3 linked regions of the Arabidopsis thaliana genome follow. The protein of the gene in region 2 interacts with the protein of the main gene of each other region in a pairwise test. Each region holds a gene or a part of one and is shown on either strand. Other genes may lie near its edges.

The links.
Region 1: the proteins of PYL13 (region 2) and HAI3 interact in binary tests that used the Arabidopsis thaliana proteins (3 or more experiments, as listed by UniProt).
Region 3: the proteins of PYL13 (region 2) and HAI1 interact in a two-hybrid assay, tested with the Arabidopsis thaliana proteins (one study listed by BioGRID).

The regions. Positions count from the first base shown.
Region 1 is NC_003071.7:12,606,289-12,611,468, forward strand, and holds HAI3 (highly ABA-induced PP2C protein 3), read left to right. Parts: upstream 1-2,386; 5' UTR 2,387-2,566; coding exon 2,567-2,935; intron 2,936-3,023; coding exon 3,024-3,341; intron 3,342-3,434; coding exon 3,435-3,836; 3' UTR 3,837-4,062; downstream 4,063-5,180. Other genes in the region: AT2G29370 (NAD(P)-binding Rossmann-fold superfamily protein), read left to right, coding at 87-294, 401-617, 696-802, 893-1,075; SMO2-2 (sterol 4-alpha-methyl-oxidase 2-2), read right to left, coding at 4,470-4,524, 4,609-4,725, 4,785-4,997, 5,093-5,180.
Region 2 is NC_003075.7:10,252,130-10,256,257, reverse strand, and holds PYL13 (PYR1-like 13), read right to left. Parts: upstream 1,900-4,128; coding exon 1,405-1,899; downstream 1-1,404.
Region 3 is NC_003076.8:23,893,286-23,899,709, forward strand, and holds HAI1 (PP2C protein (Clade A protein phosphatases type 2C)), read right to left. Parts: upstream 3,655-6,424; 5' UTR 3,213-3,654; coding exon 2,736-3,212; intron 2,653-2,735; coding exon 2,350-2,652; intron 1,981-2,349; coding exon 1,875-1,980; coding exon of another isoform or gene 1,852-1,874; exon of another isoform or gene 1,743-1,851; coding exon 1,387-1,742; 3' UTR 1,119-1,386; downstream 1-1,118. Other genes in the region: AT5G59210 (myosin heavy chain-like protein), read right to left, coding at 1-26, 114-201, 299-334. UniProt on the Arabidopsis thaliana protein: Acts as a negative regulator of abscisic acid (ABA) signaling for stomatal closure in leaves, and controls water loss during leaf senescence. Activated by the NAC029/NAP transcription factor during ABA signaling in senescing leaves.

The sequences.
Region 1 (5,180 bases), on a different chromosome or scaffold from region 2:
ATAGTATTTCTATGTTTAATCAAATCAACCCCTGAAAAGATCAAAGGCTTAATGATATGTATAAATTCATATTGATGTATAAATAGAAAAGCTGTGGTGGAGGAACTAGCCATGTTGGGAGCAAGAGTTCACACATGTGCCAGAGACGAAACTCAGCTTCAAGAAAGCTTACGTGAATGGCAAGCAAAAGGGTTACAAGTCACCACTTCTGTTTGCGATGTTTCTTCTCGTGACCAGCGAGAGAAACTCATGGAAACTGTTTCCTCTCTCTTCCAAGGAAAACTCAGCATCCTCGTAAGTGTGTGTGTGTATATATATAAGCTTCTCCTCCTCCTCGTCTATGAGCTTGGATCGACAATGACCAAAATCATGTTGAATTTTGTTTGCTTCGTTTGTATAGGTACCCAATGTGGGAATAGGTGTACTAAAGCCGACGACTGAGTGTACAGCAGAAGAGTTCTCATTTATAATAGCTACAAATCTGGAGTCAACTTTCCATTTCTCGCAACTCGCGCATCCTTTATTGAAAGCCTCTGGTTCAGGGAACATTGTGCTCATGTCTTCCGTGGCTGGAGTTGTAAATTTGGGTAATACATCAATCTATGGAGCAACCAAAGGTATAATTATACGCATACTCGAACAATTTATGATTCTTTGCTTCTATCGCGACTTAAATAAATGTATACGCATTCTAGGAGCCATGAATCAGCTGGCGAGAAATTTAGCATGCGAGTGGGCGAGTGATAATATAAGGGCTAATTCTGTTTGTCCATGGTTCATTACAACTCCGTCAACTAAAGATGTAAGACAATGAATAAGAAAATACATTTCATTTATAGTATGAAAAAATGGTTTAACTATTTCTTACGAAGTTTATGTGAAAATGTTTCAGTTCCTCGGTGATAAAGATGTAAAAGAAAAGGTGGAGAGTGTGACACCATTGAGACGTGTTGGAGAGGCAAATGAAGTATCATCGCTTGTTGCATTTCTATGTCTTCCCGCAGCTTCTTATATAACAGGTCAAACCATTTGCGTTGATGGAGGTTTCACTATTAACGGCTTCTCTTTGCCTTAAACACGTATATATGCATATATTCATGCTTAAATTTATGTGATTAATTAGTGGTTTCACTGCATATTAATTCATACAAGTTTTATATGTAACTTATGTTGAGGGAGCTCACTCCGTTCATGCCTTCTAATGTTTGGACGAAGAACTCAATCTTTTATCTTATCGGATAAGAAGTTACTTGTGTTCACATTTGATGTTTGTTCGTTTCCAATCGTATTGTGACTTTTGATATATAAAATAATTATTGTATATATTCTACTTATGATATATGATTATATAGTCATGTAATGATGACCGTACGATTTTCAACTCTAGTATCCCTATCTTTAGGGGGTTATGGCTAAAAGCCTAAAAAGATTACTTTTGCTAAAGGAGTAAAGATTATGTTCATAATTTTTTTTAATTTATATAAATTTATTATTATTATTCTCACGCATAACACAAAACAAAGAAAGAATTATCTTCATAATTATATATATATATATATATATATTTGATATAAATTTATTATTATTATTATTCTCACGCATAGCACAAAACAAGTTTCTTCTATATATCAACTAAACTAAAAGACATGTCGTTGGAAACATACTCATATATCATATTCAAGGACTCATAATAATAGACATGTAAACAAAATATTCCTTAAATTTTCTAAATTCAAAAACAAACTATATATGTAACTTGTTATTTAATCTTCTTGGGTATATAAAACTTTATCGCATTTCTTGGATATTTGGACGATGAGAATTCAAATTGCTTTGTCGATGATAAATTTGTTTAATAATTGTTCAGACTGCCATCACAACATAGCTGATTACTGTCATATAAGTCATACATATTATATTTCCGATGATTCTCTGGACTCTCAAGACAATAATAATAAAAATTCAGATATAAGTTTATTAAGGTTTTCTTTGTTAACGTGTTTACTGTCTAGGGACAAACATAAATTATTAGCACTAAACTTGTTAGGTTTTGAAAGTAAACACTGATTTATACCTAAACTTAGGTTATTCATGTAATCAAATGTGAAAACTAACGTAATGAAATTCCTCTAGTTATTTAAATACAGAAAACAAAACCTACCTTGCGGGGAAAAGCATCGTGGCGCGAAAGGAAACTTCCTATGATCCGTCATCCGTGCCGTCTCAATTTGATTGGACCACGAATCTCGCACTCGATACTGACGCCTTACGTGGATTACTTTTTTTATAGAAAGAATTTAAAATTGTTTCTGAAGAGGCAGGTTTTGTGTATAAAATAGAGAATGCAAGTAACGTGTAATGACATTATTTCTCAAATTGAATGGTTTTCGAGCATTTTTATTAACCAGTGAAGCAACCAAAACAGGAATCACCAGTTCTTGAAAGAGTTCATCAAAAAAGAAAACATTTCTTGAAACATCTAAGAAAGAGTTTTGTTCTTCTTGATCAGAAATACAGAGCAAAATCCATTTGAAGACATCAAAGTTTAAGGTTTTTTTCCCCGGATATGGCCGAGATATGTTACGAAGTAGTGACCGACGCATGTCCGTCGTCGGTTTATGAATCAACGCCGGCACATTCACGGCGGAGGCCGAGATTCCAAACGGTGATGCATGAAGATTGGGAGAAGAATTGTAAGCGTAGTAAACAGGAGGCTTTAGCTACGAGATACTCTTCAATTCCTCGAAGCTCTCGGGAGGATTTCTCTGACCAAAATGTCGACGTATCCAGTCCAAGATACGGTGTTTCTTCGGTGTGCGGTAGAAGAAGAGAGATGGAAGATGCGGTGGCAATTCATCCTTCATTTTCTTCTCCGAAGAATTCGGAATTTCCTCAACACTACTTTGGTGTGTATGACGGCCATGGTTGTTCCCACGTACGACTCCGTTACCATGCATTCTTACGTTTTCCGAAATTCTATGTTTTCAGTTTTAGCTGATACGAAATCTTTTTTTTTTCCTTAGGTTGCAGCAAGGTGTAGAGAGAGGCTTCACAAGCTGGTGCAAGAAGAACTAAGTTCAGATATGGAAGATGAAGAAGAATGGAAAACGACGATGGAGCGTAGCTTCACACGCATGGATAAGGAAGTTGTATCGTGGGGTGATTCCGTCGTGACTGCAAATTGCAAGTGTGATCTACAAACACCGGCTTGTGATTCCGTCGGATCAACCGCTGTTGTCTCAGTCATTACGCCAGATAAGATCGTTGTCGCCAATTGTGGCGATTCCAGAGCAGTTCTCTGCCGCAATGGGAAACCAGTCCCTTTATCAACCGATCACAAGGTCAGTTCCGTTCAAAACATGTTCAGTTTCATTTAAGCAATGATTGGATTTGTGGATTAACTTGGAGATTGTGTTCTTTGTAATGAAACACAGCCTGATCGGCCAGACGAATTGGATCGAATCGAAGGAGCTGGTGGACGAGTCATATATTGGGACTGTCCAAGAGTTCTCGGAGTCTTAGCAATGTCACGAGCAATAGGAGACAACTATTTGAAACCTTACGTGAGTTGCGAGCCGGAGGTAACCATAACGGACAGGAGAGACGATGACTGCCTCATACTAGCTAGTGATGGTTTATGGGATGTTGTGTCAAACGAGACCGCCTGCTCTGTAGCGCGTATGTGTCTCCGTGGTGGTGGGAGAAGACAAGATAATGAGGATCCGGCGATTTCGGACAAGGCTTGTACGGAAGCGTCAGTATTGCTAACAAAGCTGGCGTTGGCAAGGAACAGTAGTGACAACGTCAGTGTCGTTGTGATTGATCTCAGAAGATAAGGACACGTAAGTGGACACTAGTCGAAGAGGAAGACAATTTTGCTTTAACTTTCTATATCAGTTTTGCTTTTTGGTTATTCTTGGAATACGTTGGTTGTATACAAAATTAACCCGATTTTATGGAAACCCCGAAAAAGGGTTAATTAATAGAAATGATAAGAATTATTCTTGTCAACCCTAATCCTGTTTCGTGTATGCTTATAATCTTAAATCAAATCAAATTAAGAAGGTCGACATGTAAAAGCATTTTGCTTTAAAAAAGATTGTCAGACTATACTATACCTTTTACTTTTAGGCATTAAGATACTTTAAGAGGTACTTAGTCTCTGCCGCTAGGCAAAGACATGAGAGTAGATCATAGGTTCTAAATGCAATTATGAGTATTAGCAGTATCTAAAGAATAAGAAAAACAGTAAGCAGTAGTAACAACAAGTCCAATAGAAACGAGGTCACGTATAAATTTCAACATCGAATCGACTTCAGACTAGCAGCTTTGATTGTACAACCCAAATTGTAGCAAATAATGATGTTCTTATGACTAAAGTTGAGGAAATGGTAGAGACAAAACAAAAGAAAGAAGGTTTTTTGAGAACAAGACCTCTCTCGGGAATCGAATTTCACGTTTGTTTGTTGTCAGGTTTCTTTTAGGGCCTTAAGTTTTCTGTAACCTTTATCGGTGCCAAAGATCCTGAAGTAACATAGATAAACATATTTACATGTTTATTATAGTTATGACTTCTGTTAAAGTAAGAAACAGAGTTCAATAATTTACCAGTCCATGTAAACAAACGTTGATGAGTAGTTGCCAGACTTTGTGTAGAGTAATCGATGATGGTAGTCATGGAAGTCAGCACTGTAAGCAAATGATTCCCACATTAATATTAAAGATCTGTTAGGTTTAAGGTGTTGCTCTTTCAAGGCAATCACAGGTTAGAAGTCTTATCTTACCCGCCGTATAGAGGAAGAAAATTCGAGGGGCTCCATGGGAAATGATAACCACAATGTGCCTCAACTGTCTCAATAACTCTGAGCATCATCCATAACCAAAGGGTGATCAGGTGAGGCCCGGTGAGAGCCGGACCAACAATGGTAGCAAAACCAAGGAACAGAATTTCAGCGGGATGAGCATATTCTGATGTCAAACCAAACGGTGTCGCGTACCTGTATATAAGTAATACCATAAGATTGTTTATTGAGGACCATGAGTGAACTAACATTGTCAAGCACAAAAAAGATGGTGAGTACTGATAGCTTACTCATGATGCACACTGTGCACGTTCTTGTAGAGCCATTTAGTATGCAAGATCCTGTGACCCCAATAGAATACAAAATCCTCAATGATGA
Region 2 (4,128 bases):
TATATTACTTTTAGATTATGTAATTGTTTTCTAGGTAGTATAGTAATCGTTTTAAGAGGAAAAAACATTACTCGGCCACCTCTTTCCGTCTCCAATATTCAAAACTTTGATTTTTAATTGCTAAACAAACAAAAAAAGAATGAAGAATAATAGTATGAAAAATGAGAGAAAAACTAATAGAAATGGTATTTGAAGAAATTTCTTTTAATCATAACTTAACTATCTGTTTGTCGTTACTTATGTTTTGGTAGGTACTACATTTATTAATAACCAATTCTTCAAAAGTGTCTATAAATAAATTAACGACTGGTCAAGCGAACATTTATTCTAATCTATCTAATACAAAAAGAGGAGGAGAAACCCATGAAAATTTGTAAAGTAGACAATAACTTGAGAAATATACACCTGAGAAAAAAATCGATTTACTGAAAGAAAGTGAAATAAGTTTCGTTGACCAAAATCCCTAAAATTGCGGGAATGAAAAGGACAAGGGAATAAGTATCCTTCACGTGGCAACCACTCACACTCCCCCACCAACACCCAAGCTTTGAAATAGCAAGCCCCACCAACACCCAAGCTTTGAAATAGCAAGGCCCAATAGTCCATTCATAAAGGCCCAATTCCCGAAAAAACATGAAAATTTCCAATCTTCACCGTTATATTTAGATCAATAGAACCTCTATTTTGTCTTTCACCAACTTGTTCAAAATAAATTATATCTGTTGATTCGGTCGGTTTTTGATAAAAACACACCAAAGTATTATAGAGTAAACCACTCCATTAGTTCAACAGCTCAATGATTCAACGGACATCATAAATTCATAACCTCCGAACAGATTTGAGTCAAACGGCCATGAAATTCACGAGATCTACAGTTTAGGTCATCATACTTTCTGTTCTGAGTGTAAAATACCTTCCAACCTAATAATATTATACTAAAGTATTGATATTAATTAGTTTAGAACTTCAAATTAAGAATCTTACATGATGCCCTTTTACTATGCATTATGCAAAATGGACAAAGAATTATCAAGAAAATTTTCAAACATGTATTTAGTCTAACTTTTGTTGTCAGCAATACAAATCAGTATATTTAGTAACTAAACCAACTGAGTCAACAATTTAAAACCATTATTTCAAAGATTCCTAATTGTAAAAATGTAGAAATAACCTTCATTTTATTTCTCTTCATAAAAGAGTAGGAGAAAAGAGACAATTACAATCACGGAAGAAAGAAACCACACGAGCATATTATTCCGATTCTTTATATTTTTATTATTATTATTGCAATGCTAAAAGCCTTAAAGATTAAAAACTAATCCATAACGATCCATTTTTTTCTTAATCCAATGATTCATAACTATAACTACGATTAGTTTATTGATTAGCTTAAACATATAGAGCTTACTTCATCATTTTCTTTGTGAGCTTAGCAAGTGAAGTAAGGTTATACCGAATAATGTTATCAACAAAAAATATTGTATCTTCCTCGCTAGTTCCTTCCGGCACATCCACCACGTAACTCTCCACCACCACCGTCTTCTTTGCCATATCCTCCGGCGACGCGACCACCTTCGTTTTCGATTTGTAATTAACAAGCCTATGGTTACCGCCAATAATACTTACCACCATCACGTGAGACTCATCATCTAGCTCTTCGAGCCTCTCCGTGCTGAAATCCGCCGGGAAGCCGGAGACTAACGTCACGTCCCGGACGGAGCCTTTTCCTTCTCCTCCTTTGCCGCCGCCGCCGCCAGAGCGCATGGTGCAACTTTTGACGAAACGTTGATAAGCTTGTGGTTTGTCGAAACTACGTAGGATGGACCACACTAGTGGTAATGGTGCTTCAATGGTCTCGACTACGCTAGAGCGACATCGTTTTTGCTTAGAACTTTCCATTTTCTGTTTTGTTTTTCTAATGGGTTTGTCTTTTATCGACGTGTATTTTCGTGTCTTACTTTAGAATTTTCGTATTCACTTGTTTTAAAGCATATCGAACGAATCTACGTACATATAAATGAAGGCAAGCCACCGACTAAAATATTTTTATAGTGTTTTATATTGTTTAATTTATTTACGAATTCTTCATGTAATATTAAACTTTAGAGTTCGATTCGAATTCTTCTTACTATATACTAACCAAAAAACATTTTACAATATAAACTTGTACACAAGTATTGACTGCCTTGTATAGTGAAAAATTACACAATCTTGTTGGCATATTTAGAAACTTTCTTTTGCTTTTTGATAAAAGGCTTGCATATTCTGGAACTTGGTTTTATCAAAAAGATTAACAAAACCATCTGTGAAGGGTATTCTGACAAGAGTGATAGGGAATATGGTTTTAACAAACCCTCTTTGAAGGTTTTTCTTTTGACTATATCAACCATTTAAACAGAAAGAGAGATATACGAGTATCTTTTCACGAAGAATTAAATATCTTACCAACTGATAAAAATTACCAATATTATATTAAAATCTAGTCGGTCTATTTTGGAAATTTGCTGCAGCAATGTTTTGGAGCTAAATATAGATAGATGTGTCATTGCCCACGAGGTAAATACAGATGTCATTTAAACCGGAAAAGCACACAATGGAATTTAGCGAAACACACACTTGTTTACAAACATAACAGTGTTTCTCTTAATTGGTTGCCGACCAGAAAAAAAAAGAATCCAATCTTTTTTCCTTCATAAGTGTAATGTTCTACGTATCCAATCCGAGAGCCATGCAAGTTCTACATATCCAGGGTAGGCATATTCAATGTTCCATCAGTCTATTGCCTATTAGAAATAAGGCCCGTATAAGCCCAAACTTTAATGATGATATTTTCCATTTATACATTTATGCTTCACCCCACACAGCACAAAATCCATTCTGTTTTGGTTTTGGGTTTCAAACTATCCAGTCCGTTTGTTAGTCCTTTTCTTGGCTTTGGTTTTATGTTTAGCCTTCCTAGACTAAGATCATGTTTAACGGCCGGCATTGTGTCACCTCCATGGTTATATAAATAACAAAAGTTTTAGATGAAAAAAAAAACTCAATTCCAATGTGTAATCTGTAAAGACATGAGATAAAATGTAATAGATTTTTTTATATATATTTATAAGTGGATTATAAAGGTAAATTGCAAATTAAAAATGGGTAAAGATATGAAGTAAAATAGAATAGATTTCCATAAGTGTATTATAAGAATAAAAATAAAATACATGGAACAAATTATATTTGGATTTAAGTATTAAAAATATGACTTAATAAACTTATAAAATTCAAATTATTCTTCTCTTAGATATCCATCTCGAGAAACATGGACATGATGACTATTTAAAATCCAAATTTTCATAAATTGCGTCTTAGAGTTGTAGCATATATGGGAATTGAGCTCAAGCTGAAATATATACATATATTGTTGGGGCTCACAAGTCACAATCAAAAACAGAATCGCAATTTTGGTATTTCTCAAACTTGCTTTCTTTATGGTAAGCAAGTGAAACCAATGCCCATTGCCACCCTCTGAACAATCTTATCGGCACCATTGATAAATTGTTTTGCAACCGTATCACAACTTTCTGTGTTATTAAGAATAAAAAAAGTTCGAAGGTAATGGAAGTTGTTCTAACAAATGGAGTTCACTACCTTGTAGGTTAATAAAAAAAAAACCTTTGATTGAATGTCTATTTATCCGGTCTAACAGAAAAGAATACGTCAAATTTTTTATTTTTTTTTATCTCTATCAGTAAAATTATTTATTGATGATCAACAAATTTTTACACTCAAAGAAAATGAGACGGGCGCAAGTAAGCCGAGTTAATTAGCAACTACAGTAGATATGATAGATCAAAACTTCCGATTTGTAACAAACCGATACTTCCAAACTCATGAATAACATATAGTATACTAGTATATAAAGAAACAGGGCAACATGGAATCATATTAAAACAAGCTTATGCTAAAACTCATGGCTCCAAGCCATCATTATTAAATACTATGGTCTATGGCTAATATATAGCTAGCTACAAAAGCTACAAACATATATTAATTGACATATATGTACATCACTATATATAGCCTCTCTCCGGATTCTAGGGTTTCGGAAAACTCTTTCTACCGACTCGATCGTTTTAACTT
Region 3 (6,424 bases), on a different chromosome or scaffold from region 2:
CTCAGATTTTCTGATCACTGGGAAATCTGAAATAATGAAGTAGTCAATCAAAATTGCAAAGCTAGTGGAAAAGGAGATGGCAAAACATTGAAATTGGAGATGAATAAAATTACCGGCAGGATTGGGAATTTCACTAAGATCTGGACCTGAAGAAGCTTTGCTTAGCCTTTGAGCTGCTCTCTTTTGACGAATCTCTTCCAACTACAAGATCACAGAAATTAATAACAACAAAAAAGCACCGATGTAAGAAACTGTCTTCAGATGAAGATAAAGACGGCCATATCGGAAATATCCTTACAGTACGGCGACCTAGAGACGCGTGGTGCGATTCCATGGTATGATTCCTCTCCTCGGAATTTCGAACGTCGATTTAACGGTGAGGAAATCGCCGGCGACAAAAATGGAATATATCTATATTTGGGCTTATAGGAGTGTTAAATAGGCCCATGGACATATATAACTCTCTGACCTTGAAAGCGAGCCCAGTTTTTCAATTTCAAAAAGAAAAAAAAAATTGAATAAAAGTTGAAAACAGGATGATAAAAGAAAACCAGTTTCCGACAAAAAAAAAAAAAAAAAAAAAAAACCAGTTTATGCAATTGCAAAGACATTTAAAAGAAAAAAAAACGAGAATGTTCAAAAAAATCGTTAGGCGATAGCTAGGAGTTCGATTCTAAAAAAGTTACCAAAGTTTGGCGGTTGGAAACGGTTGGAAGTTATCAAAGCTTGAATCATCATTTTGATTTCTAAGTACTTTAAACAATGTTCAGTCTTAATGATCGACATCTTCTAATATGTCACATGATAAAGTGTGAACCATACCCGTTTGATGAAGAGTTATATAAACATGTTTTATAGATTATGTTGGCAAAAAAAAAAAAAAAACGTTTTACATAATAAGAAAAAAATGTTATAATATTGAATCCTCCCAATTAACCTTTGAAGTATTCTATACCGATTGTTTGCCTTGTTTAGTTACAAAATACACTTGAAAACAAATTCCTTAGTAAATATTTGGTTCTTTTCCTATTCTTAAAGATATCAGTCTAACATTTCTAATATTCCTATAAACATCGTCCTATATATAACAAAAAATAAATTTAAAAAGGTAAGATTTTGTTATGATCAACTGATTCTATTAAATTTAAAATTAAATTGAACTCAAGTCTTTCACATTTCACGGCTTTTTACCATTTTCACTACTGGTGAAAATCTTTGTAGATCTAAACCGCGATTCAACACAGTGACTGACATAACCCATAGTCAAGCTAAATTAAAAACCCTTCGTTGTCTTACACCGAAGAGCAAAAAAGGTTAAAAGAAAAAGCCCAAAAGTCGATGACTCAGGACAAAAAACAACAAACATTACGAGAGAGACAAATACAACTACGTGTCTCGTCGTAGATCAACCACCACAACACTTACGTTGTCCGAACTTTGTCTAGCCAACGCAAGCCTCGTCAGCAACAGCGACGCCTCCTCACACGCTTTATCTGGCAAATCTCCTCCTCCAACCACCACATTCCCGGCGCCGACACCTGTCATTTCCCTTTCCGGTGATGATGATACTTGACCATTGACTTTTCCTCTCAAACACATTCGAACGACGCTACATGCAGTTTCGTTTGAAACAACGTCCCAAAGACCGTCACTTGCGAGAATAAGAAAATCGTCTCCGTTGGCCCGGTCCGTCACGGTTACCTCCGGTCTGCTGATTACATACGGCTTCAAGTAATTATCTCCTGAAAAAAAAAAAAAAAATCCGCGGCGAAACGAGAGTTAATAATCATCATTATTGAAAGTACGGAAAAACTTTGTACAAACATTAGGATAGGGACAAGAGTGTTTTCGTCAAGTGTAATCAATTAACTGACCAATGGCTCGTGACATTGCAAGTACTCCAAGGACACGTGGGCCATCCCAGTAGATAACACGACCACCCGCTGCTTGAATCCGGTCTAGCTCGTCCGGACGGTCTGGCTGTTACAACAAATTTAAACAAGAGAGAGAGAGAGAATGATATAGTCATTGATAACAGTGACACGAAGGATTAAAGAATCTTAAAACTCATAAACTTTATCAGATCCTCTATCTAAAAAGTAAAAAGTCATTAAACATTCTTAATCGTCGTCCAGGTGTTGCATGCACATTAAAGAAGATTCTAATTTCCAATAAATGAAATAATAAATAAAAAATGCATTAAACAATATTAATAGGTAAGTTTCGAACGCAACACGTAACGAAATTCTCGTTTCATTACAGTGAGTAAACCATAACCGTAGATCTAACGGATAAACATTTAACGATGGATAAACGAAACAAGAGAGATTATCAAAAAACGAACAAAACCTTATGATCGGAGGATAAAGCAATGGCTTTGCCGTTACGACAGAGAACGGCACGTGAGTCACCGCAATTCGCCACGATGATTTTCTCCGGCGTAAGGACAGACACAACCGCAGTGGATCCCACCGCGTCGCAGTCCGGCCTCTGAAGCTCGCACCGGCATTTTGCCGCACCATCGGCGTTCAACGCAACAACCTCCATGTCCATGCGCGTGAAGCTACGCGCCATTGACTTTTCCCAGTCAGCATCAGCTTCAAACTCTTCACGGACTAGCTCGTGTAGTCTTTCTCTACATTTCATCGCTACCTAAACATCATATTATTAAAATTAAAAACCGACGTCGTAACGGTCAATTAAAGGATAATTTTTATAATAAAACGACGTCGTACATGGGAACAGCCATGGCCATCGTAAACGCCGCAATAGTGAAATCCGGTGGATGAATATTCCGTCTGATGACGGGAAAAAAACGGATGCACAGCGACGGCGTCTTCCATTTCACGTCTTCTTCCACAGACTGAAGCGACGCCGTATTTAGGATAAGCTTCAGGATCAGGCAATGCCACAACCGTTGAACTAAGAGACTCGCATAGGACGACAACTTCCTTCGCCGTTTCGTAAAACACGGTGGAGGTGGAGGCTGCGACGGTGGATTCTCTTCTCCTCCGCCTCTGTAAGTCACCGTCGACGAAGACAGGTTCTTGTTCGCCGGAAACAAACTTAAACCTCCGGATCTCCATTCTCCTTCTTCTCGCTGCTTGAGACGAGCTCCGTTCTCGTCTCCTCGTTGTCGTCGTTGCCTTCTTCACCACCGTCGCCGTCGTTTCAATCATCATAGTCTCGTTCTCGTAACAAATCTCAGCCATGTGATCGTCAAAACTATTCAACAAACACACTCCATCACTCTCCCCCGAAAAAAAACTAGTGAACGAGACACAGGAGAGAGAAGAAGAAGAGAAGCTTAAACAAGATTAGCCATGGAAGCTTTATATTAGCTTCTTTCACCAGAAGATATAAATAAATATAATCATCTTTATATTTACGGGCAGATGACCGAGACTTTTGAACGGGCAGATCAAAACTCAAAATCAAAATGAAGGAATGAAGAAGAGGAGATTGTTGAATGGCGTGACGTATCGCTCCTCTATCTGGACGACGAAATCTTGACCGTTGATTGTGTCCACGTGTAAAACGTACTTCTCCTAAATCGCGATACGAAACACTTACGTGCACCAATCAAAGTCTAACACTACTCAGACCTAAAGTGAAAAAGAACCTTTGATGACACGCATGCGATCTCTAAACCTCTTTTTTTTTTTTTAAGATTTTTACCAAGTTTTGTTGTGGAAATTTACCTTACCATTTTAATTTGTTTTACTATAAATACAACTAATTACGTCATCACTTTCATCACAACTTACTATTACATATGGAAATCAACCAATAGTTTGTTTTTCTTTCAATCATTTAATATAACATGAGATCTCTTAACCTCTTATTTTATAGATTCTTACCATATTTTGTTGTGTAAATTTATTACCACTTCCATTTGTTTTACTATAAACTATCACTAATTACGTCATCACTGCTAATCAATTCAATAGAAAGGTTGGAAACAAATAATCTTTTTATCTGAGTGAAAACTAAGATGGTGTTTTAGGCTTTTAGCTGGTGATGACGATTCATCGCGTTTGTTTCATTGTGAGCGTGACAATACGGTATATATCATCGTTTCTAAAGTTTGGTGTGTTCAAGGACAAATTATTATAGAAAAAATTGACCATCTGCGACTACGAAACATAAGAGAAAAATGTGATAATTGTAGAATATGTCACTACAAATATAACCTTGGTGCGTGAATACTTCTTAGAAACAATTTGAGACTGCATATGCTTTTTTTTTTAATTAGAACAATTTCTTATTTGCTAGAAAAGTAAGTTCAAATTTGTGAGTTATCATTTCAACACTTGTTTTGTTTCGTTTGTTTTACTTGTCTGGTCTATTAGTTTTGTTCTGCATTTGTTCCATTTGTTTCATCCCTTTTTTTATGCTGCAAGTGCAAACAGTCAGAGTTTTCAAATAAATATATTTAAGAGATTTTATATGGGCCGGGGAACTAATATTCAAAGATTTTAAAGGATATCTTACCTAGTTTTACAATTGAGATGATGAAAATGAATTTGAAAACTTATTCATGGTTTTAATCTTGACAAGTGTCCGGAATATTCAATGATTTATAATCGTGCAATCTTATGACTTATCAGACAGTTCTAAACTAATTTTACATCTATTTTTAAAATATCACCATCTTATGTTTGACATTACAATTTTCTTAGTTGATAAGTAGCATTTTGTGAATACAATAAAAGTGAACATCATTCTCCAATGTTTGACACAATATTGGGTTTTTGGGAATTTAAAATAAAAGCAACTGAAAAACAGAAATGATCATACGTTCTACATTGGACAATGGACATGTTAAATTCGAGTGAACTATATATTATACACTTATAATTTTCTTTTGTGGGCAAAAATTATAAGATATTCAATCAACAATTAGAAATAAACAAAATATAACGTTTTCAATTCTAAATCAATCAGGAATGACATCCAATGAGATACAAGTACGTAGATGGGTTTTGGTGGAAACTGGGGACCACTTCTCTATTACTAACATTTAACAACGTTGACCCCTCTCTGACCTGTTTTCTTCCTCGATGTTCGACACGTGTTTACATTCTCTACTTTTATGTCTTGACCAAGATTTTTTCTGTGTCAACATTCGTTTACTATGCATTAAGTAGGATCGAGAGTTGTAATTTGGGCTTTAACTGTTACTTACGTTACGCCGATGAATCTTATGTTTATGTAATGTGATGATGATATTTTAGTTAGTTAGTATTAATACAAAAATAATTCATAACCTAACTAAAATTAAGGAAAGAAAGAGAGAAGCTCAGCTTTTCGCGGAAAATTCTCTGGGACGTGGCGGCAAGCAATAGGATGATGATTTGAATTATGTGAGTCCCACATCACAGAACAAAACAAAATCAAAAGGTTGAAAAAAAACGAAGCGCGTGTGTAACACATGACACGTGTCCTCTGAAGCTGCATAGCAGTTGCCAGGTTTTTGAAGTTGACAGTAGGCAAATACATTGTGCCACGTGAAAGCTTCATCTTTCTTTCAAATATTATTATTATTAAAATTTAACCTGAAAACAAATTCGTCATCGACCAACAAGTCACTAACCATCACTTTCAAATCTTATGTAAAAATATAAGGTGAAAATTAGTTCCATTAAAATCTATGTTACTTTTGTTGTTTGTTTAGTGATTTCAATATATATATATAAATGTTGGTTAACTATATCATTTGATACTTGATAGGAATACGAAAAAATAAAATTATAACTGAAACATGGTTAGTTACTTTAGTAGGTGGTTGGAGAGCTTTCGGTAAGGAGACAATATATTGTCCTAGCTAGTTTGATTAATTATCTCGTCTTTGTTTTGTAACTTTGAATTGAAATCTTACCAATTTGTCGTTGGAATTTCCACATCACACATGATTAGTTATATACATTAATACAAAATGCTTTTCTTGATAATGAACAATGCCCGATCTCATACATTTTTCAAACTCGATGTTGAGTTATGTGTTTAATGGATTCTCCTGTTTAAATTTATTTCAAAACCATGCGCCAAACTCAACATCTAGTTTGAAAAACACAAACTTTAAACTCAAAACACAAATATTTTTCCTATTCCTAACCACTAGTCTGTAAAAGCTTAATGTTCCAATCTAAACGTAAGTTGTTTGAAAGAAAGTTCGGCAATTACGAGGAACCAATGAGGTGTCACCATTGTCCACAAGACATAAATAAGGTTTAACTCTAAAGTCTAGTTTTGAGGCCTAAGGAGACGCGTGTCGGACACAAGCCCCACGTTGCGGTTAATGGTCGTTGAGGTCGCAGTTACCAAAGGAGAAGTTTCAATAATTACGTGGCAAATTTGATTCCGACACGTGTTCTCCCGGGGCAGATTTTTCCTCGAGCCTGCATGGCCGGCAGATTGCGTA